4 linked regions of the Notamacropus eugenii genome follow. The main gene of each other region encodes a partner of the protein of the gene in region 3 in a complex. Links are inferred from orthologs where the notes say so. Each region holds a gene or a part of one and is shown on either strand. Other genes may lie near its edges.

What was found.
Region 1: the proteins of GDF5 (region 3) and TWSG1 are in contact, whole or in part, in a crystal structure (PDB 8BWL), measured with the Homo sapiens proteins. The link is inferred for Notamacropus eugenii from reciprocal best matches to the Homo sapiens genes GDF5 and TWSG1. Residues at the interface, in NP_000548.2 of Homo sapiens: Glu434, Phe435, Pro436, Ser439, His440, Glu442, Asn445, Val448, Ile449, Leu452, Ser455; in NP_065699.1 of Homo sapiens: Cys26, Lys28, Cys31, Ala32, Ser33, Val35, Ser36, Leu39, Ile40, Cys44, Gln45, Cys46, Arg47, Cys73, Val74.
Region 2: the proteins of GDF5 (region 3) and BMPR1A are in contact, whole or in part, in a crystal structure (PDB 3QB4), measured with the Homo sapiens proteins. The link is inferred for Notamacropus eugenii from reciprocal best matches to the Homo sapiens genes GDF5 and BMPR1A. Residues at the interface, in NP_000548.2 of Homo sapiens: Arg399, Phe435, Pro436, Leu437, Ser439, His440, Glu442, Pro443, Asn445, Val448, Ile449, Leu452, Ser455, Met456, Pro458; in NP_001393490.1 of Homo sapiens: Gly65, His66, Cys67, Pro68, Ile77, Thr78, Phe83, Ile85, Glu87, Cys100, Met101, Lys102, Glu104, Gly105, Phe108, Gln109, Asp112, Ser113, Lys115, Ala116, Gln117, Arg120, Ile122.
Region 4: the proteins of GDF5 (region 3) and HJV are in contact, whole or in part, in a crystal structure (PDB 6Z3L), measured with the Homo sapiens proteins. The link is inferred for Notamacropus eugenii from reciprocal best matches to the Homo sapiens genes GDF5 and HJV. Residues at the interface, in NP_000548.2 of Homo sapiens: Met412, Trp414, Trp417, Phe478, Asp480, Ser481, Lys488, Tyr490, Met493; in NP_001366281.1 of Homo sapiens: Arg95, Arg98, Gly99, Leu101, His104, Ser105, His108.

What each region holds. Positions count from the first base shown.
Region 1 is NC_092875.1:233,829,380-233,837,025, reverse strand, and holds the start of TWSG1 (twisted gastrulation protein homolog 1), read left to right. Parts: upstream 1-4,296; 5' UTR 4,297-4,466; intron 4,467-7,096; 5' UTR 7,097-7,135; coding exon 7,136-7,255; intron 7,256-7,646. UniProt on the Homo sapiens protein: May be involved in dorsoventral axis formation. Seems to antagonize BMP signaling by forming ternary complexes with CHRD and BMPs, thereby preventing BMPs from binding to their receptors.
Region 2 is NC_092872.1:253,323,743-253,331,721, forward strand, and holds the start of BMPR1A (bone morphogenetic protein receptor type-1A), read left to right. Parts: upstream 1-4,568; 5' UTR 4,569-4,681; intron 4,682-7,979. UniProt on the Homo sapiens protein: On ligand binding, forms a receptor complex consisting of two type II and two type I transmembrane serine/threonine kinases.
Region 3 is NC_092872.1:419,485,963-419,493,913, reverse strand, and holds the start of GDF5 (growth/differentiation factor 5), read left to right. Parts: upstream 1-4,491; 5' UTR 4,492-4,995; coding exon 4,996-5,614; intron 5,615-7,086; coding exon 7,087-7,951. UniProt on the Homo sapiens protein: Growth factor involved in bone and cartilage formation. During cartilage development regulates differentiation of chondrogenic tissue through two pathways.
Region 4 is NC_092873.1:303,319,098-303,327,542, forward strand, and holds the start of HJV (hemojuvelin), read right to left. Parts: upstream 3,436-8,445; 5' UTR 3,356-3,435; exon of another isoform or gene 2,335-3,355; intron 1,931-2,334; 5' UTR 1,844-1,930; coding exon 1,753-1,843; intron 1,235-1,752; coding exon 669-1,234; intron 48-668; coding exon 1-47. UniProt on the Homo sapiens protein: Acts as a bone morphogenetic protein (BMP) coreceptor. Through enhancement of BMP signaling regulates hepcidin (HAMP) expression and regulates iron homeostasis.

The sequences.
Region 1 (7,646 bases), on a different chromosome or scaffold from region 3:
TCATGTCAATGCATGCTTATGAGTCTTTGTGGTTTAACATTTCTTTTATGTAGAGGAAATAAATAATTGTCCTATTTCTCTCATTATACTCATTATACATTGAGTACCTTTGTATTTTTCCCATCCCCAGCCCCACACTGGTGAGACCAGATATGAACTAAAAAATTTTCCCTAGGGTTCAAGGGTTAGAACCAGAGAATATGAACAAAAACCAAAAACCAAAAACCTGATCCCTCAGTAGGAGCCAGATTCCTCCAGGACTGAACACATTTTGAATGAGGAAAGGGGGCACCTTTGTAGAGAGACAAAGGACTGTCACCACACACACACCCTTGGGTCCAGCAATAGTTCTTAGTATTACATTAATGTAACCATGACTCCCACCCAAGAGGGTCACGGAGGGAGATATGACATCTAACTGGTTGAGAGAATGTCGAGGCAACACTGCCTATCTGTATGCATAAGGAGAAGAATTAGTGCCAGAGCTTCTGACAAAGATACATGTAGTGAGAGAGACTTCAGAGAAGAGAAAAAGCAAGACTTTGGAAACTGCAGATGTGTAGGGAAAACCAGCTCCTCACAGGGTGTCTAATTTCCAGTTTTTCTCCTTAAAAACTTTGAAGAGAGAATTTCCCTTTGGGGGATATTAAGGCCTCTGTATTGACTTGAACTGAGATCTTATCTTACTCCCAGCAAAAAAAGTGTATTCCCTTTTGTGTATTTTCTGGTATATCCTAACTGTAGAACTCTAATTTCTATTTACTGTTTTGCTTAAACAAATGGTTTATTTACTATTCAAAGGGCTAATCTGGTAAATATAGGCCAAGGGGTACCATACTTCCCTAAGAGAAACCAGAGATATATCTATTTCTTCCAGACACAAATATCAGCTATACATTTAAATGTCATGTACATATGTGTGTATATATATGTCATGTAGCCATACATGCTATATAGGTGTATCTATACATATAGATACACATATACACACATTTAGACACATCATGTGGGTATATGTGTTTATATGTACATATATGTATCTGTATATATGTATTCTGTATAGGAACATATACATTTAGACAAGTCATGTGGATAATATATGCTTAGGATAATATGTTTAGGAGGTAGGTAATATATGTTTAGGATCATATACACCTAGACAAGTCATGTCTATCTATATGCATATAGGTATACACGTACATATATCCATATACTTATCTAGATATATATGTACATGTATATCTATATATACATATATGCTCCATGGGCAGTTGGAGATATAGGACTAAAACTTAGGAGACAAGGACTGAATATGTAGGTTTGAAGATCATCTGAACAGAGTCAGAATCCATGGGCTCTAATGAAATCACCAAGACAGAAGAAAAAAACTGAGTGTTAGCCCTGGGGCACTTGCATGAAGAGAGTGGGCAGCAACATGGATAATGAACTTGGGAATCATCAACAAGAGTCAGCATGAAATGTAAGAAGATGATCATGACGGAGTTGTGTCAAGAAAACCCAGGGCAGAGAGATTATCCACAAGGATTATTTATTGCTGAATTCAGCAATAAAGAGCTCATTGGTGACTTTTGAGAGGAATTTCATAGACCTAACATTGGAAGGGACCTCAGAAGACATCTGGTCCAACTTCCTCATTTTACAGATGGAAAATGAAGGTTAAGTAACTTGTCCAACGTCACATAGGTGGTAAGCATCAGATGTGATTTGGACCCTCATTTGAGTGGCAAGCACAGAAACCAGATTGCAAGAGGCTGAGAAGTGACTAGGAGATAGGGAAATGGAAGTCATTACTATAAATAGCTTTTTTCTGAGTCTGGCTGTGAAAGGGACCATAGCAGTATAGGATGGTAGGATCAAGTAAAGGTTTTTTCTTAAGAGGAAATATATGAATACAGTATTTATTGAAAATCCAGTTTTTTCCCTCAAGGAGCTTATAATTATCAATTATAATTAATTGATTAGGAAACTAAAACAGGTTGAAGTTAAGAAATGGTCAGGAAAGATAGGTCAGTTAATTGCTCAGGCTGAGTTGCTTATAGGAGCGGTGTGGTGTAGTAGATGGTGCAGTAACCCTAGAATCAGGAAAAACTTTGTTCCAGTAGTGTCTCACACACTTACTAACAGTGTGACCTTGGGCAAGTTAGACCTTTCTATGACCCAATTTTACTAAGCTGTAAAATGAAGGGATTGAGCTAAATGACCTCACAATCCCTTTTAGCTATAAATTGATGCCCACCTAGAAGTAGGGACTCTTTTCTGCGGAACTTCTTTTCTTTGGGGAATTGATTCATGCTTTAAAAAACAACAGCAACCCACATGTACAAAAATATTTATAGCAGCTCTTTTTGTGGTGGCTGGAAATTGAGGGGATGCTCCTTAATCAGGGAATGGCTGAACAAGTTGTGGTATATGAATGTAATGGAATACTACTGTGATAGAAGAAATGATGAGCAGGCAAACTTCAGAAAAACATGGAAAGACTTATATGAACTGTTGCTGACTGAAGTGAGGAGAACCAGAACACTGTATACAGTAAAGCCACGTTGTGTGTTGACTGACTGATAAATTTAGCTCTTCTCAGCAATGCAATGACCTAAAACAACTTCGAAAGACTCATGATGGAGAATGCCATCCACATCCAGAGAAAGAACTATGGAGTCTGAATGCAAAGTGAAGCAGACTATTTGCTTCATAAGTTTTGTTTTTCTTTTTTATGGCTCCTCCCATTCCTTCTAATTCTTCTATACAACATGACTATTGTGAAAATATGTTTAATAAGAATGTATATAGAGAGCCTATATCTTATTGAATGCTATCTTGGGAGGGGGAAGGGGAAGGAGATGGAAAAATTTTAAAACCTATGGAAATGAATGTTGAAAACTAAAAATAATGTTATAAAAAAACAACCACAACAACCCAAAAACTGATAAAAACAGAATGCCATTTTATTTGCTGTGAGAAATATAACTCCTTATAGATCAGATATTACTGTCTGCTCTGTGCTTTCTAGGTCTAGCAATGTGATCTTGAATCAATCACTTGACCTCTCTGGGCCTCAGTTTCCTTCACTATAAAATAAAGAGATTGAACCATTTAAGTCTCTTTAGTTCTAAAGCTATGATCCTACAAACTCATTAAATCCTCACAAGTGGACTTAACCTGTTACATGATGCTGACACATCCTAGGGAGGTGGATAAAGGCAGCTACTTAGTATTCTTTTTTTTTTTTTTTTGGTAAATAGTTAAAACATGTACAAAAATATTTATAGACTTAGTCTATAGTGTTAGTCTAAGTGTGAGTTGAGATAATCTCAGACCCTGTGTGCTACACAAAGAAAACCTAATTAAAACTCTGGTTTCCTTTAAATGGTCCAGGAAAATCTGTGTCTGCCAAAGGCCCAGCCTCAGCCAGAACCTCCCTAGAGTTAGATGATCCTAGGCACCTTAATTGTTAGGCTAGTAAGATCCTACATTTGCTATATACATTTGCTATAATAGAAAAGAAAAAGGAACTGTCTGTTCTCTGATTCAGGGATTGTATTCAGGGAGGTGAGGGTGACTGTTGGTGTCACTAGTTGGGACAATAATTATCCTATTTGGGATAATTTATCAAATTGCTATTTTCACTGTCGCTAATGAAAATCTATATTTAAGATGCTGACTTGTTTTACTTGGAAACTTCATAATAGTTCTCTTTTGGACAAATAAAGGAAGAGGGGAATTAGCTGCTAGAAAGGGGTTGATAAACAAATACAGAAGATAGGTGGGTTGTAAAAATTGGTGTGTGTGTGTGTGTGTGTGTTTGTCCCCTGGAAGACATATATTTCAAAAAGTTGGAGGTGGGGTAAGGACTGCTGGAGTGGGGAAGGCAATGGAGAGAAAGGGGTAAGCAGGGAGAAGGGTAAGCTTGGGAGAGTGGAGGCATGCTGCGTGATGAATGTGCCCTAGAAGTGAGGACAGAGGGAGAGGTCAGGGGTTATAGAGAGGAAAAGGGCAAGAAAGGACTGGGGGGATACGGCTCATAGAGAGGGTAAGAGGATTGGGGGTGAAGGAAGAGGGAATGAAAGGGAACGAGAGAAAAGGTATGCAGGAGAGGGAGAGAGGAGGGGGCTGGAGAGGGAGGGGCCTGGAGAAGGAGAGGAGGGGGGCTGGAGAGGAAGGCTTGGGGGTGGGGGGGTTGGCGGAGCCAGAGCAGCCTCGTGGGCGAGGAAGAGGAGAGGAGAAGGGCCCTGTCTCTTTAAGGTGCCCGAGGCGGGGCAGCCCCGCTCTGCGGAGGGGGGCTGCCGAGGGGGGGCGGTGCCCGGGAGAGGTAGGGGGCGGGGGTGGCTGGGCTGGGGCATCTGCACGCGCTGCTTCCCCAAGGCCAAGTTCCCGGCTCCCCCGGCTCCGAGTGGGAAAGAGGGACCGAGGGCAGGGAGGGCGGCCCGGCCGCGCCGCGCCTCACGGTGAGGGGAACTCGGGGCTTCGGGGAGCGGCCTGGCCGGGCCTCTGGAGGAGAGCGGGGCGGGCGGCGGCCGCGGGGGGAGCGGGGTTGCAGCCCGGCCTGGGCCCGGGTCGGTCCAAAGGCAGGACTCCCTTAGATGTTTGTCGAGTTGAGTAGCCGCAGTGGGGGGAGTGGGGTGCCTGGGTCCCTCGGCCCGCGCTTCTTTTATCCTTTTGAGACATTCATTCTTTCTCGTGGGCATCCTTCTCTGTCTGAACCCAAAGAGCTGCGAATCCAGGCCCCCAGACCTCCCCTTCCCCCTTCCCTTCCTCCCTCCTTTATCTCCTCCCTTTCCCTTCTCTCTCTCCTTCTCCCCTTACTCCCCTCCTTCCCCCCTTCTCTCTCTCCTTCTCCCCTTGCTCCCGTCCTTCCCACCTTCTTTCTCCTGTCCTTCCTTTTCTTTCCCCAAACAAATGAAAGAAAACGCATCCCCGAGCCCAGCCATCCTTTGAAAGTGCCTGTAGACTGAACTCCCTGTAGGCCTCCCTCTCCCAGCCTCTTAATCCGCCCCTGCCCTGATTCGAAGGTGAGAACATCTTTGTTAAGGCTAGGCTTGCCTGGGGGCCAGTGCCGGTCCCCCGGTGCCAGTCCCCCAGTGCCGGTCCCCGGGGCCGGGGCCCCGACGTCTCCTCCCGAAGGCAGAAGCCGTGGGACTTGACTTAGCCTTGGCCGGGAAGATGGTTGTCTTGGGTGTTTAGGTCTGCTACAAGTTAGTCCACAGTTTTGGTTTAGTAGAAATTGGGTTCGATGAATGAAAGATTTGGGAGAGAGATGTTCACTTAAGTTATTTTAGGTATCAGCAAATGAACATTTAAGTGAGGCAGAATTGGATTTGCAAAAAATGTGTCACTGATTTTGTGTTGTTCTTCGATTGCTTAAATTGTTTCCTCTTAAGAAAATAAAGATTATTTAATAAGCTAAATTTGTTAAAGTTTTTTGAAAAAAAAAAAATAACCTCCTACCAAATACTCCTTAATTTGTAGTGTCAATAAGATCAAAAACTAGTGAGGGAAAAAACCAGAATTAGAAATGGCATATTCTGACTCCACAAGTACATGCCAGTGGCTCCAGAAATTATCCCATTTGGTCAGAGTAGTTTAACAAGTTACAAAGTTGGGTGACTAACGTCCTTTGGGGAATGTTTTGTGGTTCTAGTAATCATCAACAGGGCTTTCTCTTTCTAAATTTTGAGTCATACTTACCGCCATTAATGTAAGAGTCTTCATTTCTCCCTGCTGTTGGCTTACAAAACTTGAATGCTTAGAATGAAATAGTAAATGTAATTACAGAAATCTCAAACTTAACTATCCTTTTAAATTCGAAATGTACCAACTTAAAATTTTTAAAAATGTACCCACATATACACCTAAGTGTATCAATAAATTCAAGAAGTTATATATATATTTTACATCTGATCATCTTTTTTTCTGGTTTCTTATAGTTTTAGCCCTATTGTGTCTTTCAAGAACTCATAATGGTGCCTCATCTATAATGAATTTGTGCAGTTAGTGTTTTGAACTCTCCCCTCACCCTGTCATTCACTTAAGCTTGTGTAGGTTATGATAGGTTACAAAAGGAAAGAGAGAGCTTGTGAGAGCTACCACATTTAAAGCACTTCATACGTTTTGTTTCATTTGGGGCTCACAATAGTCCTTGAAAGTTTGTAGGGTAAATCTAAATGTCCACATTTTATGGACACTGAAACTCATGGAGGTTAAGTAATTGTAAATTTTTTTGTCGTGTTGGTTCAGGTCCATTTTATAAAAATATGAAATAATTGTAAATCAGCATTAGTATATTCTACATTTAAAAAACTCATTGATAATACTATGATTGAAAAACATTTTATTTTATGTGTGCTGTGGAGTTGAATGCTTATGTATTTGAGAAGCTGGATTTTTGTTGGTGTAGGATATACCTTACATTAACACAAACCACAACCCTCCTTATGCCTTAGCTGATCAACTTCCAGAATTGCTGTGGTGGAAAAATTCATCATCCTGTAGCCAGCATGGTGATGAGCCTCTCCAAATTTAGCTAGGCAGATCCTCAGATGGTAACCTATTTCACAGGGTCCCTACTCAAAGCCTTTCATGGATGTAGGACCTTTCAGGGCTTATGCTATGCTACTTTATGGAAACATGGGATCCCTTTAATACCATAATGAGTAACCAGAATAGAACTTTTAGAGGGTTGATGAAAGTGAATAGTCTCTTATTTATATTCCCTAATGGGCCTGCAAATGACCTTCTTGGTCTGAGGACCAAGGTAGATAAGTTTGAAGCTCATTATTCCCAGATTAGGTAAAGGGTGATATATTTTTCAAGCATGATTACCGAAGTTGAAGAACTGACCTTAAATAAACTTTACCTGTTTGATATAATCTAAGTTACTTAGGTGGGGATATATTGGAATTGTACCAACTTTCTGTGGATAGTTTACATTGTATTATAATATAAAGTTTTTATTTATTACTGAGCTTTTAATCAACTTTTATTGAAAATTATATTCAACGGAATAATTCCTAATTTGAAATTAGGAGACTGATTTTCACTCTAGTACTGTCTATTAAAGTGGAGTTTTTTATTTCAGAGCTTCGTGGGGATTACCCCTTGTCTGCTTTGAGGAAACATGAAGTCACAGTATCTTGTACCTACTGTAGCCATACTGATATTCCTAACATGGATCCCTCTCTCACTGAGTTGTAACAAAGCTCTCTGTGCTAGTGATGTGAGCAAATGCCTCATCCAGGTATGATTTTTTTGTTTGTTTGGACTTGTGATTTCATTAATATAGGGAATTCTCATATTGAAACTCTTTCCATGGACATAGATGGCAACTTCTTTAATATTGACAGTCTTATAAAGTTGACTGGTGACTCTGAGAGGCTAAATTACTGTCATATTGTCAGCCCTGTTATTATAACAGGCAGATTTTCTTGACTCCAAGGTAGACTGAACTGCTTTGCATCCATAATTTATCAAGTTCTAATTTCCTGTCAACTTTAATTTTTTAAAAATGACATTCATGTTCCCATTGCCAGTGTAATTTGTGATAACTATGTCTGAGATAGAACAAAGACATAGGCATGACTAATTGGGTGCATTATTGGGAGTTTTTATTTGCCTAACAGTTATGGGGC
Region 2 (7,979 bases), about 170 Mb from region 3:
ATGTCAGTTTGACCAAATTTTCTTCATAGCAATCCTATAAAGCAAGTAGTGTGAATACGATGTCCATTTTACAAGTGAAGAAACTGAGGGTTGGAGAAGTGAAATGGACAGTATCCAAGCCAGGACTTCTGTTTGTCTAGTATAGATTTTCTTATCAAAAGAAGAGAGAGGGAAAAAGAGAGAGGGTGTGTGTGTGTGTGTGTGTGTGTGTGTGTGTGTGTGTGTGTGTGTGTGTGTGTGTGTGTGTGTGTATGTGTGTGTGTGTGGAAAAAGAGAGAGGGTGTGTGTGTGTGTGTGTGTGTGGCCTCAGGACTGCTTCTCAGAATAATGTTTTTAAATAAAATGCATAGGATTGGAAAGGAAACCAAATGTATTGAAATGTAGTTTATCACATATTTAAAAAGTCCACACACTTCAGTCTAATCACCCCTGGTCTAGTGCTTTTCCACCAGATCACAATGCCTCTTAGGTCACTTAATGTCTGTGCGACCCAATTTCCTTATCTGTAAAATAAGGGAATTAGATTAGATTGATCTCTCTAAGGGTCATTCCAACCTTAAACTAACTCCATGATCCTCATTCTCTGAAGTCTTCTCAAAAGTAATCATTCCTAATTCCTTTGATTGACTTTTACTGGGATCAGTGTAGTACAGGGCTGGGGAACCTGTGGCCTAGATGTGGCCCTCTAGGTCCTCAAGTGTGGCACTTTGACGGAATCCAAACTTCACAGAACAAATTCCCTTAATATAAGTATCTGTTTTGTAAAATCTGGACTCAGTCTAAAGGCTGCATCCAAGGACCTAGAAGGCCACATGTGGTCTTGAGACTACTGGTTCCCCACCCCTGGGTAGTCATCCCTAGTACTGTATTAAATAGTAATCTATGCTGTGGGTGTGCTGTTATTGGAAATAGGTGGAATTTAATGATTAAACGGGCATTTATCTAAAACTCCTAAATCCTATGAGGAATATTTATTTACATTATATCAAAATTTGAATTTATGATAGAGGCAAAAGGGGAGGGAAGAAAAGTTTGGATTAAAATTGTGACCAATTGAGTATTTAGCAGATGCTGATAAAGGAAAAGAAAGGGGTGTGCTCTGTCTGTGAAAGACGGATAAGTAGAGAGTGAGAAAGCCTTCTATAAGGAAAATATTCTGTAAGGGAGAAGTTATTGAATTGGGAATGAGTGGGCCTGGATTATTCTTTCTTGCTTTGACTTTTCCATAAACCAGCCATGGGACTTAAATTCTAAGTTCTTGTTTCTGGGTCTCAGTTTTCTTTTCTATAAAATGAGGAGTTTGGATTGTTTGATTTATGAAAATGCCTTGGCAGGTCCGAAGGGGTATTTTCTATTTTCACTTTAAGGATTTCACACTATTCTCTTTTAAAATAATTAAATAACTTTTGAAATAAAAATAAAGACTCTTAAGAAGATTTTTGTAGTTTGGGGTTTATGAATTTGAGTTTTTTTTTAATCTTAATAACAGCTTTTCAATATAATTGATTTCCTTTTTAAATATTATGCATTTTATAAATTTAAAAAGAGATAAAAGGGATAGTTCCCTAGGTGGAGAGTGGGACTGTGTGTGTAGAAGTGATTTGAGGGAGGGAAGGAGAGAGGGAAAGAGAGAGAGAGACAGAGACAAAGAGACAGAGAGACAGAGAGAGACTTGGAAATAAAAGTGATGTAAAAACAAAAGCTCCATTCAAAAAAATAAAATGAAAATGATCATAATCCTCAAAGTAACATGAAGTAACATTTAATCAAGCCCTGCTTTTGATTGGTGGAGATTTTTCAGTGAAAGCTTTTTTTTTTTTTATTCGATAAGAAAATTTAAAAGATAAGCTTCACTTTTGACCTTATGGAGTTAGTGTCAGCTCTGTGCATATATACATTTAGTAATAAAACTAGTTGTTAACTGTGTGACATCACCTCTTTAGTGTAATTGCATTTGTAACTTAACTAGACCTTTGCTCTTCATTTACTAGCAACTATCAATTTGCATAAAAGAGCAAACACTATGTAATAGGTTGTTAGATTGATCACTTTTTATTGAAAAAATTAGTTGAGGTTAAGCAAATGGAATTATTATCTTCCCTTTGTAAAGATTTTTTAAAGAATAATATGAATGTGCATTTAATGCCCTTTTTTTCTGAATGGAGACAACTAGAAAGGTCATATAACTTTAAATTTAATGTTTTAATGTTTTTTTAGAGATGACAGAATTCTGAAACCCAGTTTTTTTTGGGGGGGAGGGGAAGAGACAAGTTGATAACAGACTTGTTTTTAAATTTTTATTCATGTCTTTTCACATCATCTTCATTTCTAAGTAGATCTTTTCCCTGTCTCTCACTCAGAAAGCTATCCTTTATAACGAAAAGAAAAAGAAAAAGAAAAAAGTTATGACTAAAAAAGCAAACCTAACTAGCATGTTAACAAAGTGTTTGTGTCTCAAAGCAGAAATCCTCAGCTTTGTAAGGGGGAAGTATTCTGCTTCTCTTCTGGGGGACTAAGCATGGCCAGTATAGAGAAATAACATTCAATTTAAGTTTTAAATATTAGTTTTTATTTAAAAAATAATACATCTGGGTTCTTTTGGTCAGTGCAAACATCTCTTCCATCCACATTTCATCTTAGTACAGTGACTTACATTCGTAGGGGCTTTGAGGCATAGCACAATCTTGAAGTAGTTTCTGAATCATCAAAGATTAAATTATAGTCAATATAATTTTAGATTGATGCCTTTAAAAATTCTAATTCTTTTAGATTTTGTAATCCATGTATGGTAAGTGGTAATTTGTTTAACTAAGGAAAAGGTAAAGAAGGAATAGGATAAGAATTGAGGAGCACAGGAGGCATTGCTGAAGGCCAGGACTTCCCTGCAAGTGGAGGTCCTATAATTAACTCTGCCTAGCCCCTGCCCTTATTACTTTGTATACTTGGATGTTTACATCAGAGTGTGCCTAGGCATTGAGGCTGGCACAGAGAGGAATCTAGCTTTGAAAGCGTGGATTCAGAGTCTGCATCTGACTTATACCGACTGTGAGACCCTTGGTGAATCACTTAACTCTTTCCCACCCTGGCATCTCCTGGGTTTCTTGACAACTGCCATCTGCCTTGGGAAGAGGGATTAGCTCCATGTAACGACAGTCAAAGCACTGATCCTACCACAAACAAACAAACAAAACATACTTCTTTTGGCCAGAGCAGTTTTCATTTTTGTCTTTGTATGCCTAACACCTAACATTATATTGGTCAAATAGAGGGCATTTCCTACATGTTTATTGAATTGAATCAAACTGTACATTAACCAAAACAGCCTATTCTCCAATATTCTGTATTATTTTGAATGACTTAATTTTGAAACTGATGAAAATATCAGTAGAAGTACTGCTTCAACGTGTAGTATATACAGGTGTATCTCATTGAGCAACAAGGACTTGAGGTTTTTATCCTGCTCTGGATTGAAAATAAAGGATTAATCATAAGCTAGTTAATAGAAATGCTAAGTGTTTTCCTGTAAGTGTGGTGGTAGAATTTATAACAAATTAGAGTAAGAATGTTTTTACTTTGATCCTGAAGATTTTTTTCTTCTAATTTTTATGATTTCTCCTATGTTAGTTACTTTTTCAGTAACATACATGATGGCATCATATTTCCTCTAAAGTCTGGCAATTTTTTCCTTCATTAATATCCACAGGAAGTTCTAATTAGGCTTTTTTTTTTTAAAAAAGCTTACATGTGTTTCCTTCTAAAGCTTATACTTTTTGCAAGATTGTAAGATTCCTGTAATGAAAATATGATGTTTGTATAGTTTCTCATGGGTGAGAGTCTTCTCTTTATTGCTTCCTATAGTGTTTCCTAGAAATGAGAAACAGCAAATAGGCCTTTTTTTTACATCTGTAGTTCAGTTAAGCAAACATTTATCTTGCTTATCCCTTTGGTGAAAAGTTTTAAATATAGGAATTTTTAAAAAAGCCAATGTTTTATTCCAGACCTTCTAGGTATATTTAAAAAAAAATAATCATTTTAAATCATTTAAAAAAATAATCATTGCTGTATGTGTTTGTTCATGTTTATCTTAAATTGTAAACTTCTTGAGAATATGTGGAGTGCATATCTTTTGGGATTATTTTTCATAGCATCCAAGAACAGTGTCATGTACAGAGTATGGTACTCAACAAACCATTGATTAGATGAGAATAAACCACAAACAAGAAGCATTTATTAAACACTTAATCTTAATGTGTCAGGCATTGTGCTAAATGACAGGGATACAAAGAAGGCAAAAACAGCCTCTGTCTTTGAAGCAGCCAGCGCACATTCTAATGGCAGAAACAATATGAAAACAAGATAAGTTGGAGATAATTTCCAATTAGCATTAAGGCAGATTGGGAAAGGTTTCTTGTAAATGATGGGAGTTTAGTGGAGACTTGGAAGCCAGGGAAGCAGGAGGTGGAGTTGAGGAAGAGAGCATTCCAGGCGTGAGGGCCATCCACAGAAAATGCCTGGAATCCTGAGATGGAATGTTTTGTTCGAGGAACAGCAAAGCCTCCAGGGTGATTAGATTATAGAATACAGGGAAGGAAGCAATATTTAAGGAAAATGGAAAGATAGGAAGGGACCAGGTTATGAAAGCCTTTAAAAACCTGACAGGACTTTCTGTTTCATCCTGACGGTAATGGAGAGCTGCTGGGATTTACTGAATTGGGGGTGGTGTGGGTTTGAGCAGACCCTCACCTTTAGGAAGATCACTTTCGTAGCTGAGTGGTGGATAGAACTTGAAATGTGGATATCAACTAGCCACCTACTTCAGTACTTCAGGATAGTCCAGGTGTAGGGCCTGCACTGAGATGGTGGTACCCTTAGAGTAGAGCAGAGAGCATAGAGGAGAGAAGACTGGAAGGTAGAATCAATAGGACTTAGCAACTGATTGAATATGGGAGGGGAGGAAAGGGAAGAGATTGCTTTCAATAGCAGGGAAAGCAGTGTTTTTCCTCATCTAGCAATAGTTGCAACTGATCCAGGTGTTTTCCTGATATTCCTTGATATTGTGTTCATAGAATGAGCAGTTTAGTAATGTTACTCTTGTGCTCTAGAATCTGTCTGAAAGCAAGTACATATCATGTCAGCAGAGTGTCATGGGAAGAACACTGGCTCTGAAATGGGTTGAAATCTCTACTATGTATGTGACCTTGGGCGAGTCACTTAACTTTTCTGCACCTCATTTTCTCATTTGTAAAGTGAGGCAGCTAGATTAGATAAACTCTGAGGTCCCTTCCAGCTCTAGATTTATGATCACTTAATATTGTATGAGTCTATTTTGTGGGCTGCTCCTGAACTGTTCCAATTTATAAAAAAAGTTATTCAATGTAGTTATAGTCATTGAAAATTTAATTTAATTTTAATGTTTTTTATTTGCTATTCATATAAACATATGATACAATTTTAACTTTTCTATTAACACTAAAGACTTTGGAGAAAGAAGAAAGTGAATAATACTGAAATTATATTTTGTCTCACATTAATTTCTTATAATTGCATTGGTGTGTATTCAGTGAAAGGGAAACTAAAAAAAAACAAGGAGCTAAGTTGAAATAGCTTTCTGTCTTGGCATAGTCATGTGATTGTTGTTCCTTCTCCGCCTTCGTCTCCCTTCCTAAATCCCTACTCCTAGGTTTCTAGAAAGCTTACAAGTTATGAATGTTAAGATGTTTCTAATTTGAAGAAGGTTTTTTTGAGGGGGGGGAGGTACTTAATGAATGAACTAAAACAGAATAAGATTGGGGGAAGAAGGAACAGAGCTGAGGGAGGTCAAAAACCAGATGGAAATAGAACATCCAAAAACATCCAGCAAAATGAAGTTAGAAATAATGGAATCTAAACAGAGAAATTATACATCTGCTGAGCAGCTGTGCATTCTTTATACAAAGGTTCAGTTACAGAAATAGCAATTGAAACTTTGAAAAAGAGAACATTTCCTAAGTGTATGAAGTATATATTTTTTGTGAACATTTAAGAACATTAGATTTAAAACTTTTTGGGAAGAAGTCAAGCCTTTTATTTTGTATCTAATGACTAATTATAATACCTTTAAAGTGTATATATTTTATTCATCTTTAAATAGATTGTTTTTCCCCTTCCTAACAAAGTTTGGGAGTTCTGATTAAAAAAAAAAAAACTTCACGAAGAATTACTGGACTGTTTGTACTAAATTTGGACTTGCTATTTATATCTTCCACACTGAATTATTATTCTATTATGTATTTATTATGGAGTTTTTCTTCTTGGTGATTGTAACTACCTTGGAGGGTGATGCACCACTGCCAATTTAATTGTACTTCACCTTGATTTTGCTGTACATTTTTCAGATATTCATCCCTACTGCAAACTGCAATGACACTTTTCTGCCTTTCTTAACTCTAACCACTAAATTTGCTAAAATATATTTATTTTAGGTTTTTATTCACAGTGTTTTAAAACTTGAAATTAAGAAGTATGAAAAAATATTTACTATTAATCTCTAGCAATCTATCTTTTCCACAAGCTTCTATCCCATTGACTTGAAATTTGAGACATAGCATTGTCAATAACTTAGAAGACTGTAGTTCATAAAGGTATTCATCTTTGTTCATTTGCATTGATTTTTCAATTTTGACCCATTCTTATTGGAGAGTTGGAGATAGTTTACTTGTTAATATCTTTAGGACAAATTTTGTGTTGTGTTTTAAAGTTTTATCTATTTAAAAATAGCTATGTATTTTAAAATGAATTTTATGATGTCTTAATAGTAGAGGTTAAGGTGGGAATTATAAAAGGAAACATTTTAAACTTGGAATTCCATTTTATTTATCCATGTGAGCACTTACTTTGTGTTTTACCTGGGCTATCTTCCCTTTATGCTGCCCTGTTGCTTCTATCATTGCAGCTGCTTTACCCCTCTTAATCAGGCCACTAGAAACCATGCCCTGCAGGAACTAAGCCACTTAAGTTTGGAACTGTGCTTTGGGACCGTGCTACCCTGATTGGTGAGAGTTCACTGCATCTAGAGGGTCAGAGATCCTTCTTTACCAGCTCTCTCCATGCTTTACCTCTGCCATGTTCTTCCTTTATATACCTTGGGTAAGAGTAATCAAATGAACACTTCTGTTGGTTCTGGAACGGGTGTGATGATTCCTTGTAATTCCACTCACCACAATTTCCCTGACCAAACTGCCCCCCTCTTTTTTTTGGCTTCTGCCCTCTAATTTGTGTTGTCTTTTATTAGAATGTAAGTGTCTTTCAGGAGGCAGTGTCTTTCAGTGGATTCTTTCAATTTCTACTTTGCCCTCTGATTCTGAGATATCTGGGTGATTTTCCGTTATAATTTCTTGAAATATGATGTCTCAGCCCTTTTTTCATGGCTTTCAGACAGTCTAGCAATTCTTAAATTCTCTCTCTTTGATCTGTTTTCCAGGTCACTTGTTTTTCCTATGAGATATTTCACATTTTCTTCTATTTTTTTCAGTGTTGTTTTAGACCTCTTTTATCAGGCTACTAATTCTCTTCATAATTTTCTTGCAAAGCGCTCATTTCTTTTCCCAATTTTTTATATACTACTTTTACTTGATTTAAAACATTTTTTTTCTCTTTTTAAAAATTGGTTTCTTTATCACTTCTAGGAATTCTTGTTGACCTTGTGTCCAGTCTGTCTTTTTCCTTCTTGTATATGTATTCAAGTTATTGTTTTCTCCTATATTTGTGTTGTAAGCTTCCGTTACCATAGTAACTTTTTATGAGTTCTTTTTTTGTTTGCTCATTTTCCCAGCCTACTTCTTAATTTTGTTAGTTTACTTTATTTTTTAATATTTATTTATTTACTTGGTAATTTTTGTTCATTTTAATGTTGAGCTCTGCTCATTTTTGGGAGGAGAAGGATAGGATGTCTGATCTGAACTTCTGTCTTTTTATGGCCTCCTGAGGCTTTCTTGTAAGTT
Region 3 (7,951 bases):
AATTCTTTGGTAGTTTGACTGATATTGACGATACCCCCTTGAACTTTCCTTGAGCTTTCCCACATGGCCTAGTCTTTGGCAGTTATCCTTTCTACTGGCCTTTCATTGGCCCTCCTCCTAAACCAGGGCAGCTAGGTGGTGCAGTGGATAGAGCACCAGTGCAGGAGTCAGGAGGACCTGAGTTCAAATCTCACCTCAGACACTTGACACTCACTAGCTGTGTGACCTTGGGCAAGTCACTTAACCCCATTTGCCTCATCCTGGATCATCTCCAGTCATCCTGATGAATATCTGGTCACTGGATTCAGATGGCTCTGGAGGAGAAGTGAGGCTGGTGACCTGCACAGCCCTCCCTCACTCAAAACAAAGTCAAGTGCAAGTCATGTCATCATTTCTCTGATGGCATGGTTTTTTTCAGCAGCGAGGGACAAACCACACACACCTGCCAAACCTCCAGTTCTCTGTTACCTCTAATGTAGCACAGCCCTTCATTGTTACCTCCCAATCACCCCAGCCACCTCTCATCCTTTATTCCTTCTAGACCCTTTCTTACAGTCATTCCCATCCAGATATTCCCACTTCTTGACCACTGTATATAAGGTTCATTTTGTCTCTATTAAAGTGCTCAGATTCCTTAAGAATCTGGCCAATGGCTCAGATTCAATCTAGTCTGCTTGTCAATACAAGTGTCACAATATTGTGGATTCTTAAAATCTTGCCTAACCTGATTGATGTTTTAATAAACCTTGTCTCAGACTGAAAGAAGTCTTGAGTTGAATTCATTCGAGGCAGGACCTATGTTGTTTGCCTTGAATTTTGGGGTCCCGGCACCTCTAGACCTCAACAGTATGGCACTGAATAAGTAAATTAACTTGAACAGAATTGTCATTTTTATTGTATTGGCTCAGCCTACTCATGAGCAATTAATATTTCTCCAGATGTTTAGATCTGCCTGTATTTTTGTAAAAAGTGTTTTGTAATTATGTTCATATAATCCCTGGGTTTGTCTTAGCAGGTAGACTCCCAAGTTTTTTATATCGTCTGTGGTTATTTTAAGTGGAATTTCTTTTTCTATCTCTTGCTGCTGGATTTTATTGGTAGTATAAAGAAATGATGATGATGATTGTGGGTTATATTCTGCAACTTTGCTGAAGTGATTGTAAACTCTTTAAGAGTTTCTGATGAACAAAGCTGTGTGCAAAGGGCTGACCAATCAGAAAATGTGGAATCTCATAGGATAGTGTTGGATTTGAAGTCGGAAAGATAGATTCAAATTTTGCCTCTGACATTAACTAGCTATGAGACCATGGACAAGACACTACCTCTCTGAGCCTCAGTTTTCTTGTCTTTAAATCGGAATGTTGTTGAGGCTCAAATAAGGTAATTTATGAAGGTGCTTTACAAACTTTAAAACACTATTTAAATGTCAATAATAATTACTAATAAATACTTGTTGATGGATTGATTGTCTGAATCTCTTAAAGGTCATGTTTTCTATTCCAGGACTGTCTAGCTTGTGTTGACCTAAGATAATTGACATGGGTAGAAGCACCTTAATGGAGTTAGAGTATAAATCAGGGGCTCTTGCTAGTTGACTACCCAGTTAGGCTTTTAATAACTTTTCAGTGATAGATTCACCTTATACCCTGACGAGTAGGAAAAGAACCAGGCTGGGGAGTCAGGTGACAGATTCTAATCTGTTTCTTTCCCCAACCTGCAGGATGAAGTTATAGCCTCTGTTTCTTCCTATGTAATATGGGCATGATAATCCCTGCCCTTCCTAATTCACGGGGATAATGAGATTCAAATGTAACAATCAATAGGTAATATTCTACAAAATGAAAAGTTTTCTACAAACATAAGGGTTTGCAAAAGAACAACATATTCACTGATGGTAGTTATCGAAGTGGAAGACAGCCTTAAATAGCAATAAAACTGAGGTTTAATACACTGGGAATGGCGGTACTGCTTTGTTAAAGCACCACCTTCTTTTCTTTTAACAAACAAATAATAAAAGCGAACACTTGCAAGTACAAACATTTGCAATCAGATTTTTGTGTTGTTTTGAGTAACTTTTTGAAAGATTTTATATTTTGTTTTGTTTGTGTGCTTTAAGACAAAATTTATTAATAGAAAAACCAAATGTAAGAACTTGCTATTATTTTCACGCCTTGAATTTCAGACAGAATGACTGCTTCCCAAGGCTCCCTTGCTCTGCCTAGAGTTAGACATTAATATTGTTGACATATAAGGGAGACATAGGGGGAGATGGGGGTGGAGTGGGGTGGGGGAACCAGGGCTCTGGGTCCCAGTAATTAAAGATGTCGGCACTGCCAGAGGCAGCATCTGGTTGCAATTACCAAAGGGGACAGAAGTGATTAGTCACCTTTTTAGTAAGAGCCAAATGTGTCCCTTGGGCATTTCCCTTGAGAGTGCCTCCCACCCTGTCCCCAAGCCTTTCCCTCTCTCCCCCTCCCCATGCCTGAAAGCCCCGTCCCCACTGATAATGTCCTATGTTTTGAGGGTGTTTAATATCTCCAGTATCCCAGTGTGTTGGAGGGAGTGAGAGGATAGTCTCCAAGGAGTCTCAGAGCAGAATACAGTCAACTATGAATTCTTCTACTGCTTTTTAAACTTGATTTTTCTACTATGGATTTCCTGCAGCTTTTGTCCTGAAGTCTCCCTTACCCTACAGTCTTGTTTCAAGGTTTTACAACTCATTTGTTCACCATTGGCCCCATTTGGCACCAAGGGCTAAGGCAAAAGTAACATCATAAGCATTAAACCCAGGTCTTCTGATGTTTGATTCCACAACTAGACCAGTGAGCACAAGATAGGTTTTGTTTTTCCTTAAGATTTAATTGAAGCTTGGGTCATTGCAATGGCAAAGGCAGTGGAAGACTCATTTCTCCAAGGATAACTTGAAGTTGGGACAGCATGAGTAAAATTGTTCTTTTCTTTCCTAGACTTACCATAGCTTCTCCTCTGTCCAAAAGGCAAGAAACTTGAGCTAAAACTGACTCTGGATAGTTTTCTAAGATCAATGAATTGCTAAACTAGCAATCTCTTGTTTGGAACTGTTGGCTGAGTTTGGGGCACCTGGTAAAGATAGAGCTCTTTGATGTCTACTGTCCCATTAATCCTGGAACAATGAAGACAATATGCTTTATAGTTGTAGGCTCCCAGATCTCAGCAGCTTGAAGGATTTGGATAAGAGCTATTGTAATGTGACAAATCCTGTACACCCACACCTGCAGCTAGGTGGTGTCAGTGGTTAGAGTGATGGGTCTGAAGTCAGGAAGACCAAGTTCAAATTCAGCGTCAGACACTGACTGCTTGGGTGACCCTGGACCAGTCACTTAACCGCTACCTGTATCATTTTCCCCATCTGTAAGATGGAGATAATAATAGCACCTACCCCTTAAGATTGTGAAGATAAGGTGAGCGGATGTTTCTAAAGGGTGCTTTGCAAACCTTAGAGAGCCATATAAATGCATTTTATCATCATTATTATTATTATTGCACCTGGACTAAAATATCTTCTTCATTAAGATTCCCACCCCTGCCAGACTGCAATGTCCTACCTAGTATCGACCTCAGCTTCCACAAAAGTGCCTGGCTTTCGATTTGACATTTTAAGAAACACCTGAATTTCCCCCATGTATGTCTCAAGAATGAGGGGCACCTTGAATTATGTGGTGAGTTTCCCTTGTCCTGCAGGGGTCACTGCTGCTCCAGGACTGGGTAAATCCCGTCCCTAATGAAGGGCTATCCAGTCTGCTAACTGGTAGGAACTTGGGAGCAGCCTATGCAAACCATCTCCACCAACGTCCCCTGCGGGAGTGGGGTCCGAAAGGGGTGGCATACACAGGGTGACATTCTGGGGCCCAGGCATCCTCTGAGCGTTTTCTTGTGGGATAGAAGAAGGCATATCGGTCTCCAGGTCATCTCAAGTTTATTAAAATAAAAGGAGCTGTTGGTAAATACTACTGACTGTTACGTGCCCCCTCCGTTAGGCCCCAGACTCAGAGGCTGAGTAGTAACTACTTTAAAAACACTCCAAGGACTTGACTTTGAAAACCTAGACCCGCCTCCCCCAATCCACCCCCCCCCAACCCCCCTGCCCCGCACTAGCCTGCCGCCCCCTCCCCCTTGGTGGTGTGCTTTAAGAACCGTGAATTGCTTTCTCCTCTGGATGGGGCTGGCTCTGCACACCCCAGGTGGAGGCCCCGTGCTCCTCCCAAGGCTCCAGGGCAGTCCCTGGGCATGAGGGTCCCACTGAACCGCCCACCCCCACCCCCATCCCCGGTGTGAGTCACCGTCCGTGAAAAGGCAGAGACGACTTTTTTTTTTCTTTCACATAAATATATCGTACTTAAATTAGTTTAGACAGCATGACATCAGAGAGTAATTAAATTGGTTTTTGTTGGAATTCCGTTTCCAATTCCTGAGTTCAGGTTTGTAAAAGATTTTTTTTTCACTGAGCACCTGCAAGCGGGTGTGTGTGTGTGTGTGTGTGTGTGTGTGTGTGTGTGTGTGTGTGTGTGTGTGTGTGTGTGAAATATTTTCACTGGAAAGGATTCAAAACTTAAAAAAAAAAAAAAACTGGAGCCCAGAGGCAGCATTACGCCATTCTTCCTTCTTGGAAAAAACCCTCAGACTTAAAACAAGCCTCCTTCAAACTCTCCGTCAGTCCTGCAGGAGAAAAGGGGCGGTCGGCTTTCTGCTTTCAAGAACGAGTTATTTTCAGCTGCTGACTGAAGACGGGCGCACGTCTGGATACAAGAGCGTTTCCACTATGGGACTGGATACAGACGCGCAAGAGGCAGATTTAAAGAGTCTCAGACTGAGGAGAAAGCCCTTGCCGCTGCCCTTGCTGCCGCTGCCGCTGCCGCCCTTGCCTTCCAGGTTTCGTTCCTTTCATGGTTTCTCCTGCCAAACCAGAGATACCTTCGCCGCTGTTCTCTTTGGTGCCAATCAGCGGCAGGTTAGAGGATGAGACTCCCAAGACTCCTCGCTTTCTTGCTCTGGCACCTGACTTGGTTGGACCTAGATCTTATCAGCACTGTTCTGAGTGCCCCAGACCTGGCACAGAGAAGCTCAGGGTCCAGACCGGGATTGGCCAAGGCAGAAGCCAAGGAGCGTTCCCCCCCGGCCAGAGGCAGCTTCAGGCCGGGGGGACATGGCATCAGTGGGGCAGCCACTAATGCCAGGGCAAAGGGCAGCGCCAGCCAAGCTGGAGGCCTACTACCCAAGAAGGATCAGCCCAAAAAGATGCCCTCGAGATCCGGAGGTCCTGAGCCCAAGCCAGAATTCCCCCATGCAAGGCAGTTGGGAGCCCGGACTGTGACCCCCAAAGGGCAGCTCCCTGGTGCCAAGGTTCCTCCAAAGGGCGGCCCCAGTTCCAGTACTTTCCTACTGAAAAAGGCCAAGGAGCCAGGGCCCCCAAGCGAGCCCAAGGAACCATTCCGACCACCCCCAGTCACGCCCCATGAGTACATGCTCTCCCTGTACAGGACGCTATCGGATGCTGATAGGAAGGGAGTCAATGGCAGCGTGAAGCTGGAGGCTGGGCTGGCCAACACCATCACCAGCTTCATAGACAAAGGGCAAGGTGAGAGGCAATGCTAACCCCAGGTCAAGGAGGGATGTCCAGGGGAGTGTGTTTATCTCCCAGCTACCAGTTACACATGCCAGAGGTTACCTCTTGTATTATTGTGCATCTGGTTGTGTGGGCTACATGCACTAGGACATCGAATTGTAGGACATCAGAGCAGGAAGGGACCTTAAGGTTCATCCAGTGCAGGTCCATGAGTTTGCAGAGGAGAAAACTGAGGTTCAGACAGGGCAAGAGACTTTCTGAAGGTCATAGTGCATTGGTTGCATGAGCTGGGATGAAAACCTTGGTATCCTGTTTCTCAGTTCCTTGTTCTTTATTTGCATGGACTCTCCTCCCTTAGTTCTAGATGAAGCTAGATCAGAGGTGAGCGTTGGGAATGTTGAGGGGAACAAGGGATTCATTGCAGAGGAGATGGAATTTCAGCTGGGGGATGGTGTGGGAGAAGAGCACTGTCAATGAGTCCTCCTGTCCTAAACAAAGCTAAATGGTTTGGTACTTTCATACATAACCCAGGAGAACTTAGGTTCTCCTTATTTTTTGTAACTGTGGTGCTCAAATTCTTCTGTTTCAATCTGACCGCTTAACTCTCTTGTGATCTTATATAAGGGACTTACTTTTTTGAGTCTTAATTTGTCCCTATATAAAAAAATAAGGAGGTTGTACTAGAAGATTTCTAAGGTCCCTTCCACCTATGAGTTTCTAAAATTCTATGATTCTTAGAACTTCTACTTGAGTGCCTTCTGGGAGGGAGTTTAAGGAAGGGGGAGAACATATTCATTAAACATTTGATGTTGGGGGAGGGGGTGAGACTGAGCCAGGCTCAGTGGCAGCAAGCCTGGTTGGGGTGGGGGAGGTAGGCTGGCTCTGTGCCCAGTTAGGGAAAGCTGTAATTCCTTCAGGACTCATAAAGTAAGTCCCCATGTCCCCTAGCACTGAAGTTGCTCAGGGAGGGGAGATGAGGAGTTTAAAAGTCCAATTAGTCACCTTCTAGGCCAACATGTGAATACTCCCTGGTGGCAAATTGGTGTTTAGGTAGGATAACATATTCTGACATATACTGAAGCTGTGTCATATAAGAACATCCTTTGAATGATCATCTATAGAGATATATTCACCTACCCAATGAGTAAAACACATACAGTTCACACACACAGAACATGGGCTTCAACATAGTTATACATTCTCTCTGTCTCTTTCTCCCATGATACACACGTACCCTGAGTATAGAGGACATCAGAGGACATCACACACTTGCTTGCATGTTTATGCCCACAATGGATTTGGTAATGTACTTGTTGTTTAGTAAGTTCTCTTCATTTGTACACTCTCAGAATAGAATGTGGGGTCCCAGCTTCTATCCTAGTGGAGAAAATGTTAAGTAGTTTTCTTAGATTCAGTAGCTTCTTCCTGTACATTACAGAGACTCTGCAGGAGCATCAAGAATGATCCTATTTCTTTCTCTCTAGATGACAGAGGTCCTGCAGTCAGGAAGCAAAAATATGTATTTGACATCAGTGCTCTGGAAAAAGATGGGTTGTTGGGAGCTGAGTTACGGATCCTGCGGAAAAAGCCCTCAGATGGGTCAAAGCCATCTGTCCCTGGGCGGCCAGCCCAGTTGAAGTTGTCTAGCTGTCCCAGTGGCCGGCAACCAGGCATCTTGCTTGATGTACGTTCTGTACCAGGTCTGGATAGCCCCCGTTGGGAAGTGTTTGACATCTGGAAGCTCTTCCGAAATTTTAAGAACTCAGCTCAGCTGTGTTTGGAGCTGGAGGCCTGGGATCGAGGTCGTGTCATGGACCTACGTGGTGTGGGTTTTGACCGAATTGCTCGTCAGGTCCATGAGAAGGCCTTATTTCTGGTGTTTGGCCGCACTAAGAAACGTGATCTGTTTTTTAATGAAATTAAGGCTCGTTCTGGCCAAGATGATAAGACTGTGTATGAGTACCTATTCAGTCAGCGTCGGAAACGGCGGGCCCCACTCACAACACGTCAGGGCAAGCGACCCAGCAAGAATCCCAAGGCCCGTTGCAGTCGCAAGGCACTGCATGTTAACTTCAAGGACATGGGCTGGGATGACTGGATCATTGCACCCTTGGAATATGAGGCCTTCCACTGTGAAGGACTCTGTGAGTTTCCCCTTCGATCTCACCTGGAGCCCACCAACCATGCTGTCATCCAGACTCTCATGAACTCCATGGATCCAGAATCTACCCCTCCTACCTGCTGTGTACCTACCAGGCTGAGTCCCATCAGCATCCTCTTCATTGATTCTGCCAACAATGTGGTCTACAAGCAGTATGAGGACATGGTTGTGGAGTCCTGTGGCTGCAG
Region 4 (8,445 bases), on a different chromosome or scaffold from region 3:
ACTTTTTGGTCAATACATTCCTGCATGTTCTTGAATATAATGGTGAGCTGTTTGGGGAAGGAGAAGAAAGGTTCATTTCTGGTCAGCTTGAGCTTTCCTAAAATCACCCTCTTCCTCAGCCCTAAATCCATCTGTTCCATGTTAAAACACCCTAGTCCTCTTCGCTGCACTCCTCCTTTCTCCTAGGCGTCCCTGAATACCAAGCATCCCTATTACCAGTTCAAATCATTCATTCCTCACTCCTCCTCCCTACAGTCTCAATCTTAGCAGTTTCTATAGGTGTGAGCTCTTTTAGAAACTTCACCATCTAAATTTTTGTTTACTGAGGGCTCTGACACTTCCACTTTTTCTTCTAGATTCCCTGGACAAGGAAAGTGACAAATAAGAAGGAGTAAAGGGAGATGCTGGTAGTAAAGGGAGTCGATGAGAAGGTGTGGGACAAATAGTTAATAGTAGTAACGGAGAGGGAGAGTCTGGGAGAGTAGCCAAGAATGGAGGGAGGGAACAGCAAAGGCATAAAATTATGACGGAATAGCCAATGAGGACCAGAGTGGCTAGTGTATATTTTGGGGGCAACCATTGCCAAAGAAACTAATCAGTAAGTGGTTGTGCGGGTCGTGGTAGTGGAACTAAAGCTGTTCATAAGGACTGACTGTCTATACCCTGACCTTCCCCGTGGCAGTGGCGTTGGCTCCAGTGGCCACCGGGTAGCTAGTAGCCTGGACGAAAAGGAAGTCGTTGTCCAAAAGAGGCCAGGAGCCTTGGACACGGCACGTGTGGAAGTGGTGGTGGAAGCTGCGTACGTGTGGATCCCCAAAGGCGGCACAATGCAGGAAGCCCGGGGGACGACCGTGTAGCCTAGAAAACCGGCCTTCATAGTCACAGGGGTCTGGAGCAGGAGGGCCAGAAGAAAGGGAGGAGCCAGAGCCAGGAGGGGCGGGACCCTGAGGAGGGGGTGGAGCCGTGGGACCCTGGCGGGAGCAGTTGTGTTGGATCATCAAATCTTCTATCCCGTGGACAGCAGAATGGAAGGCCAAGTCCCCTCGGCAGGTACGCGCAGTACGCCGTGTGCAGAGCGCATAGGATCGCAGGGCGCGACATAGGCCACCAGAGTTCGCCCCTGGGCCCCGGACTCCACCTCCCCGGTTCCCTCCAGCAGATCCCCCACTTCGTAGGTTCAACGTGGATGATACATACTCAGCGTTGCAGCGGAGGATTTTGCATTGAGAGTGAGCTGGTGGGGGGGGGGGGGGGGGGAAACGGGAGGCGGGAGAAGAAAGGGGGAAAGGTTGGGGGGAGAAGGAGGGGGAAAAGATAGAGAGTGGAGGATTTTATTGTCAGAAAGGCCTCACTCTATCCTCAACCTAGCTCCCAACACCCCTCCCACAGTTCATTAGTAGGGCCCCAACCTTCCAAATAGCATATACCAATTGAGGACCACCTCTTCAACCTCGGTTAAACAGTTGCCAATCCCTTTGCCTTTCCCTATGACAGTTGGACAATGCATGTAGTTCCTAGTCTTTCTGCTAAAGAAGCACCCTCCCTCAGCTAAGGGATCTTGCCAGTTTCTCCACCCCTCTTTCCAGGGTCTCTCCCTTCCTCCTCCCTCCTCCTTTCCCCGAGTTCTCCTTGATCTGTGATATACCGGTTGTAGTCCTGAGTTTGAATGTGAATGATTGGGATCCCTCAGGCCTTTACTGTATCCCCCTTTCCCCTTGCCTCCCCCAGACCCTTCCCTAACCCTCCCCTTACCATGTCCACAGAAGAGCAGCAGAAGAGTGAGGGTGCTTAGTGAGCTGCCACGGGTGGACCAGAGACTTGGGGAATGGCTTGGTTCCCTCATCCCTATCCAGCCAGGTCCCCCCTGGTCCCCAGGTCTCTTCCGACTGCTGGCTGGATCCCCTGGAAGGGACCTCAGTCAAAGAGAAATCTGGTTGGGGGTTGAGGTGAGAGGAGCCAAAGTCTGAGTGAGAAGGGTTATAGGGGATATATAGGGAGGTCAAAGAAATGATGGGAGGTAGGAATGAGAGGAGAGAACTGGAGATTTAGGGCTTGGAGAACCTTTCTGGCACTGTGTCTTCCTCCCATGGTCACCCCAGGGCCCTTGTGCAACACCCCAGTCAGAGGTGGAGGGAGGATGGGGGGCGGGTGTTGGGATGAGGGGAGCAGAGTCCACTGTACTGACCCATCCCAAGTTGACCAAACAGTAGAGGGGTCAAAAGACAAATGACCAAGCGGACAGAGCTACTCTGTTACCCCAATGGGCCCCTCAATGGGAATACAATCTGGGAACATTTCAGAAACACAACTCATTTCCTTATGGGTTTACTGAAGACCCAGGTGACCTGGCACGCCCTTCATACCTGGATCAGGAGAATGAAAAGAAGGGATAAAACTAGGAATATCTAAGGCCTATTTTGAATAGTGACATGCAGATCAGTTTCTTTTGGAACCTAGATCTACTAGGTAGGTGTTAGCCACCTGTTATGCTTTCTCCGTAGAATAACAAGTGCAAAATGAGTGTGTAAATCAATTTTTTTTTTTTCTGATCCAACAGCTCCTTTGCTTTTCCTAATATTCCGGTAATGCTTCTCCCAACCACTAACCCCTTCAGCCCTGCAAATATAAAATAATCTGCTCCTCCCTTACATTCAATACCTTTCCCTTCCCTGCTTTGGTAAAACTAATCGCCCATTACTAATCTGGTGGAGAACCTGGGCTAACATTGGGGTGGTGCAAGGGAGAGATTGTGCAGGTGAAGCATAGACTGGAGAGAGGCTGATAATTGTGAAGGGAGGTCTGTAGTTGAAAGTTGCCTCTTACACTCACAATTCAGAAGCTCTTTGGGTATGCCTGGAGGTGGGAATAGGGTAAGGGGTGTCAGTGCCCAAATATCTGAGTCTATAATTAGCTTTGGCAGAGAGAACCACAAAGGTGGAGACTTAGAGAACACCCCCTAAACCCCACCAGAAAGTCTGAGACAAACAGTGAGAATGGAACAGGAGGATTTCTGGCTGTGAGACCCAGGTGATGGGGGAAGGGTAGTAAGAAAGGCTGGGTATAGCCCTTTATTCTTTCTCCTAGAAAAACATCCCTCTCAGCCAAGTCATCTTACTAGACAATTTTTCTTCCCCTTCCCCCCTTGGCACAGAGTCTTCTCTGCTCTAGGATATATCCCATGTAGTCAGCATATCAGCATGCAGTTCTCATGCCAGCTTGAGGAGATTGGGACTACCAGCCTATGTAGCCTAGAGGAACTGAGGTTGGTGTCCATGATTCTCAGCATTAAGAAAAATGCAAACCCATATGCTAACCAAAACTTTTTGAAAGAAGCTTTAACTTTCTAGGGACTTACCTTTGTATCTAGAGGTCGTGTCAGACTGTTATCCAGTTTTCCATCCAGTGTTGCCTACTGTCTGTCAGCTTTATCCAAGGGTCCCATATCTCCTTTTCCATGTCCCTTTTCGCTCAACTCCAGTACCGAGCCCTAGCTACAGGCTGTCTGAGGCCAAGGAGCTAGGAAAGATTTGGGGGGTGAGGAGTGAACATACAACGAAAGGGATGGACAGCTGGGGATGGGGGAGAGAGGCTAAGTTGAGGTGGAAGGAGGCCTGACCACTGAGTTGAGAGTTTTAAAAATAGCCAGGACCATAATTCTGGGGGGAGGGAGGGAGCAGGAGAGCAGAAAGATTTGTAGTTTTGTGTGTGTATATGTGTGAGTATGTGTGTGTGTGTGTATGTGTATAGAGATAACAGGGGAAGGGGTCAGATATCCAGTTCCATTCTATATGAAGCCCCAGTCACCATCTCATCCAGGCAGTCCTTAGGGATTTCTAAAACATAGGGTCTTGCCCTTGAGGAATTGGGGCAAGTACTTGGATATGTCCCCTTTGGATATTGCTACCTGCTCTCTACAGATGCCATTTTGGTGTGGAAAGCAGCTATCATTAAATAAAAACTACTGCAGGAGATAAATCCCTCCCCCAAATTCCTCAACCCCCACTCCCCCAAGTCTATCAAAGTAGGGCCAAAGAAACCAGCTGCCCAGAGAAATCTGAGCCTGGAGTTGATGAGAAGCTGGGGCTGTTAAAATCTATTTTCCCCTGCCCTAGATCCACATTTAGCTCTGGTCTGTGCAGCTGCTGTCTGTTCTCCCTCCCCACTTTCCTTCTTACTCCTCTCCCCATTATTCACCTCCCCCAATAAAAAAAAGAGTCCAGCTGAATTTCTAAAGGAAAATAATAAAAAGTGTGAGTATGTAGGCCAGGGGAATCTCCCTGCCTCCCTCTGCCACCAAATCACACAGATAAAAATCATTATAGTACTTCACAGGGAAAAAGTAAATTATTTTTTTCCTTCTGAAAGGAAATCATTGTGTCATAAATTCAGAGCTGGAAGAGACCTTACAAGTCATCTGGTTTTTTTGCCTCATTTTACAGATGAAGAAACAAAGCCAGAGATCTCTTTTCCAAGGTCGTATAGGTAGTAAAATGGCAAAACTCCAATCTGAACTTCGTAAAACATTCCACTTACTTAGTTAAAAAAATTAAGAGTTAGGAACATAAAATTGCAAAATGGTTTTTTTTGTGGCTAATAGTTAATGGAGAAAGAGAAGAGGGAAATTGGAATAGTAACAGACAAAAAGAGGTTTAAAAAAAGACAATTTCATGGAGTAGCAGCTCCATCTTATGGCCTTCTAGTATATTACAGCTCAATATTTATATTCTTTTCTGGTCCACAGGCCAGCAGCATATCTTTGTATTTCCCCTACTGACCAGAAATAAGATTAGGGGCTAAATCTGCCCTATAGGCCAGAGATTTATAACCCTTAACATGGATGATTGGGCTAGGCATAGTGGCAAACGTCTATAATCCCTGCTATTGGGCATGCTGAGGCTTGTGGATCTCTCAAGGTTGCGATTTCTCAGCAGTAGGAGGCTAAATGGATTGAATGGATCCAATATAATGAACCTGTAATAGTAAGGCGATCTTTTTAAAACCTCCCTGATTGACTCATTATCACATTCACCAAAGTGACTGTTAACAACTTTTTCCTCCCTCCTCAAATTTCTCTCTGCCATCTCAGCTGAACACCTTGTTTCATTCTTCACCCCAAAAATGGAATCCATATGTCAAGAGCTCCCTCTTATCTCCTCCTCAGTTTACATTACTGAGTTGTATTCCTTAACTACCCACCTTCATTTCATCCTTGTGTCATATGAACTGGCCCTTCTCCTTGTCAAAGCTAACCTATCTACCTGTTCCGTTAATTGAATTTTCATGCTATCTTCTTTAGCAAATTGCCCTCCTTTTCATTCTCACACTCTAATTTTCAGGGTTTTTTTTTTTGTTTTTATCGATTGGCTGCTTCCCTGATGTCTACAACATACCCATGGGCATCACCATCCTTAAAAAGTCCTTAGATGATTCAACCATTTCCTCCAGATATCATCCCATATTTTTCTCTTTTTCACCAAACTCCTTGAGAAAGTCATCTAATAGATGTTTCTACTTCTATAGATGAGAGAATATCCATGAGAAAAAGATTTTCAACATCATCAAATGCTGTAGAGAATTCAAAAAGGATGAAGACTGAGAAAAGGCCATTGGATTTGGCAATGTAGAGGTCATTGTTAGTGTTAAAAAGTTTCAAGTCAGAAGCCAGACTACAAGTTAAGTGAGAAGAGATGATGTGGGAGCAGTGAGTACAAACAGGTATTTAGGAGTTTGTCTGGGAAAGGAAGAGGTATAAGACGATAGCTTAAGGAAGTTGATAGGGTTAAATGAGGATTTCCAAGGATCAGGGAGATGAGCATATTTTTAGACAGGGGAGAAGGCAAAAGTGGCTAGGGAAAGACTGGAAAATTAGAGGTGGGGGATGATTGTAGGGACAATCTATGAGACCAGATGGGAAGGCAAGGTTGGCCTTGGCAAGGAGACTAGAGTAAAGGAGGAGACAATGGGGAAGGGAATTGTCAAGGGCTTTGAGAGTTCAAGGAGAGGAGAAGAGGTCAAATTTTCTCCATTTTCTCAATAAAATATGGGGTGAAATCCTTTCCACACCATGCTACCTGCTGCTCCAGCCTCCCCTCTGCCTCCTGGAACCTGAATTCCCAGGATTTGGTTTGATTAGCTTTTATTTTACTTAGTCTTGATCTCAGGCCTAGCATGCCACTTTGGGGCCATCTATTCTTTGCTATATGTACCCCTTAACCACTTTCCATCTCTAATTATAGACTATAAGCTCTTTGAAAGCACGACTATCTTACTTGATTGTATGTGTTGTTGTTTGTTCTTCATTATTGAAGAGGACCTATGACACCATGGGGTGATGTCCTAGCTTGTGTGTGAATTGGATTTAAGTGAGACAGAGCTGCACAAAGTCATCAGCCTCACTCTCTCTTCCACAGTCATCAAAGTCTACAGCCAGATAAAAGTCAACACATCCATGATGGCCAGGATATAGTGGCTGGGATGCACCTTCATGTGTTTGATGTCCGATCAAGCTCTAAGTGCTCTATAATGCTATGTGGGGCATTCAAGAAGGGTTTACCAAGCCCTCTTCATCCACCTTTGGTATCCACCTGCTACCAACTCTTACCTGTGACTCCAGGAAGCTGTTATATTCCCATTGACCAGCCTCTGCTGAAACTGAATCAGCAGATGGATTAAACCAGGTTGAGGGTAACCAACAGGCCTCAGATCTGTCGGTGAGTTACAGGGATGTCTACCCCAAGCATGTGAAGACTTCTCCCAGTGTAATGGAATAGGTTTGCATTTGTATAATCATCACTTAGCACAGAGCCTGGCACATGGAAAGTACTTAATAAATACTTTTTTATTCTTTCATTTTGCTGAGATAATTGGAGAATGGTATGTTGTAGGGGACTTGAGGAGAGAAGAGATAGTGGGCAGCAGTTTCTTTTGAGAATAGAGAATCAGTTAGGATTAAGTTAAAGGATTAGGGGCTCAGTTTAGTTTTATACCACATATATTGCCACTGTGCTAGCTCAGGTCCTTATCACTTTGTTAGTCTCTTTGTATTCTCTAATCTAGTCTTTAGAGTGGCCAAATAGATTTTCCTAAAGTACAGGTCTGACGACATCCATCCAAGAGGTAAAGAAGTTCTAGTGGCTTTCATTTAACTCCAGGATATCATACAAAGTCTTTTGTTGCATTTTTAAAGTCCATTGTACTGTGGCTCCAGCTTGTCTTTATCCTTTCTCCCTGGCCTGCCATGTTTTCCCAACCCTGGCTTCCTTCAAGGTCTTGCTTAAGTGCCGTTTCTGATGTCTGGATCATTAAGTTGCTTCTGCTTTCTCCTGCCCCCAAGAGAATGCTTTTATTTTCTTTTGGTGTACACATATTTCTGTGTATATATGTGTATAAATACATATATATATATATATGTATGTGTATATCTTAAAAAGACTATCTACAATAGGTGCCTCCACTTTCTCTTTTCTCATTTTCTTCTTAATTCCTTGCAATCTGGCTTCAACCTTATCACTGAAACTGCTTTCTCTAAAGTTACTAATGATCTCTTCTTAGTTGCCAAATTGAGTGGCCTTTTCTCTGACCTCATTCTCCTTGACCTCTCTGCAGTCTTGGGTGCTGTTGATCATTTTCTCCTCTTTGATGCTCTCTTCCCTCTAGGTTTTTCAGATACTTCTCCCCTTACCTATCTGACTGTTCTTTCTCAGTCTCCTTTGCTACATCCTCCTCTGGATCACCCTCTCTAACCTTAGATGTCCCTCAGGGTTCTGTCCTGGGTTCCCTTCTCTTCTCCTTCTATACTACTTTACTTGGTGATCTCATCAGCTTGCCAATTACTGTTTATGTAATGACAATTCTGAAATCTACCTATCCTGTTCCAACCCTTCTGTGACCCAATTTCACATCTCCAAATGACTTTCAGACATCTCAAACTGGATGTCCACTAGACATCTTAAACCCAATTTGTCCAAAATGGAACGTGTTACTTTTCTCCCTAAACCCTTTCCCCTCCCACCTTCCCAGTTACCATCAAGGGCAACATCGTTCTCTCAGTCCCTCAGTCTCATAACCTAGGAGTCATTTTGGACTTCTTCCTGTCTCTCACCCCCCCATATCCAATCTGTTGCCAAAGTCTGTCAATTTTATCTTTTAAGGTCTCTTGAATATGGCCCCTTCTCTCCTCTGACACTGCCCCACTGTGATGCAAATCCTTCTCGACTCACACTTGGATTATTTCAGTGGGCTAATGGTCAACCTCCCCCAAATCTCTCCTCACTTTAATCCATCCTTCCTTCAGCCACTAAAGTAATTTTCTTAAAGTTCAGATCCAACTATGTTATGCTCCTCAATAAACTCCAGTGAGATTGCCTCCAGGATCAGATACAAAATGCTCTGTTGAGCATTCAAAGCCCTTTCTAACCTAGCTCCTTCCTACTCAGACACAGTATT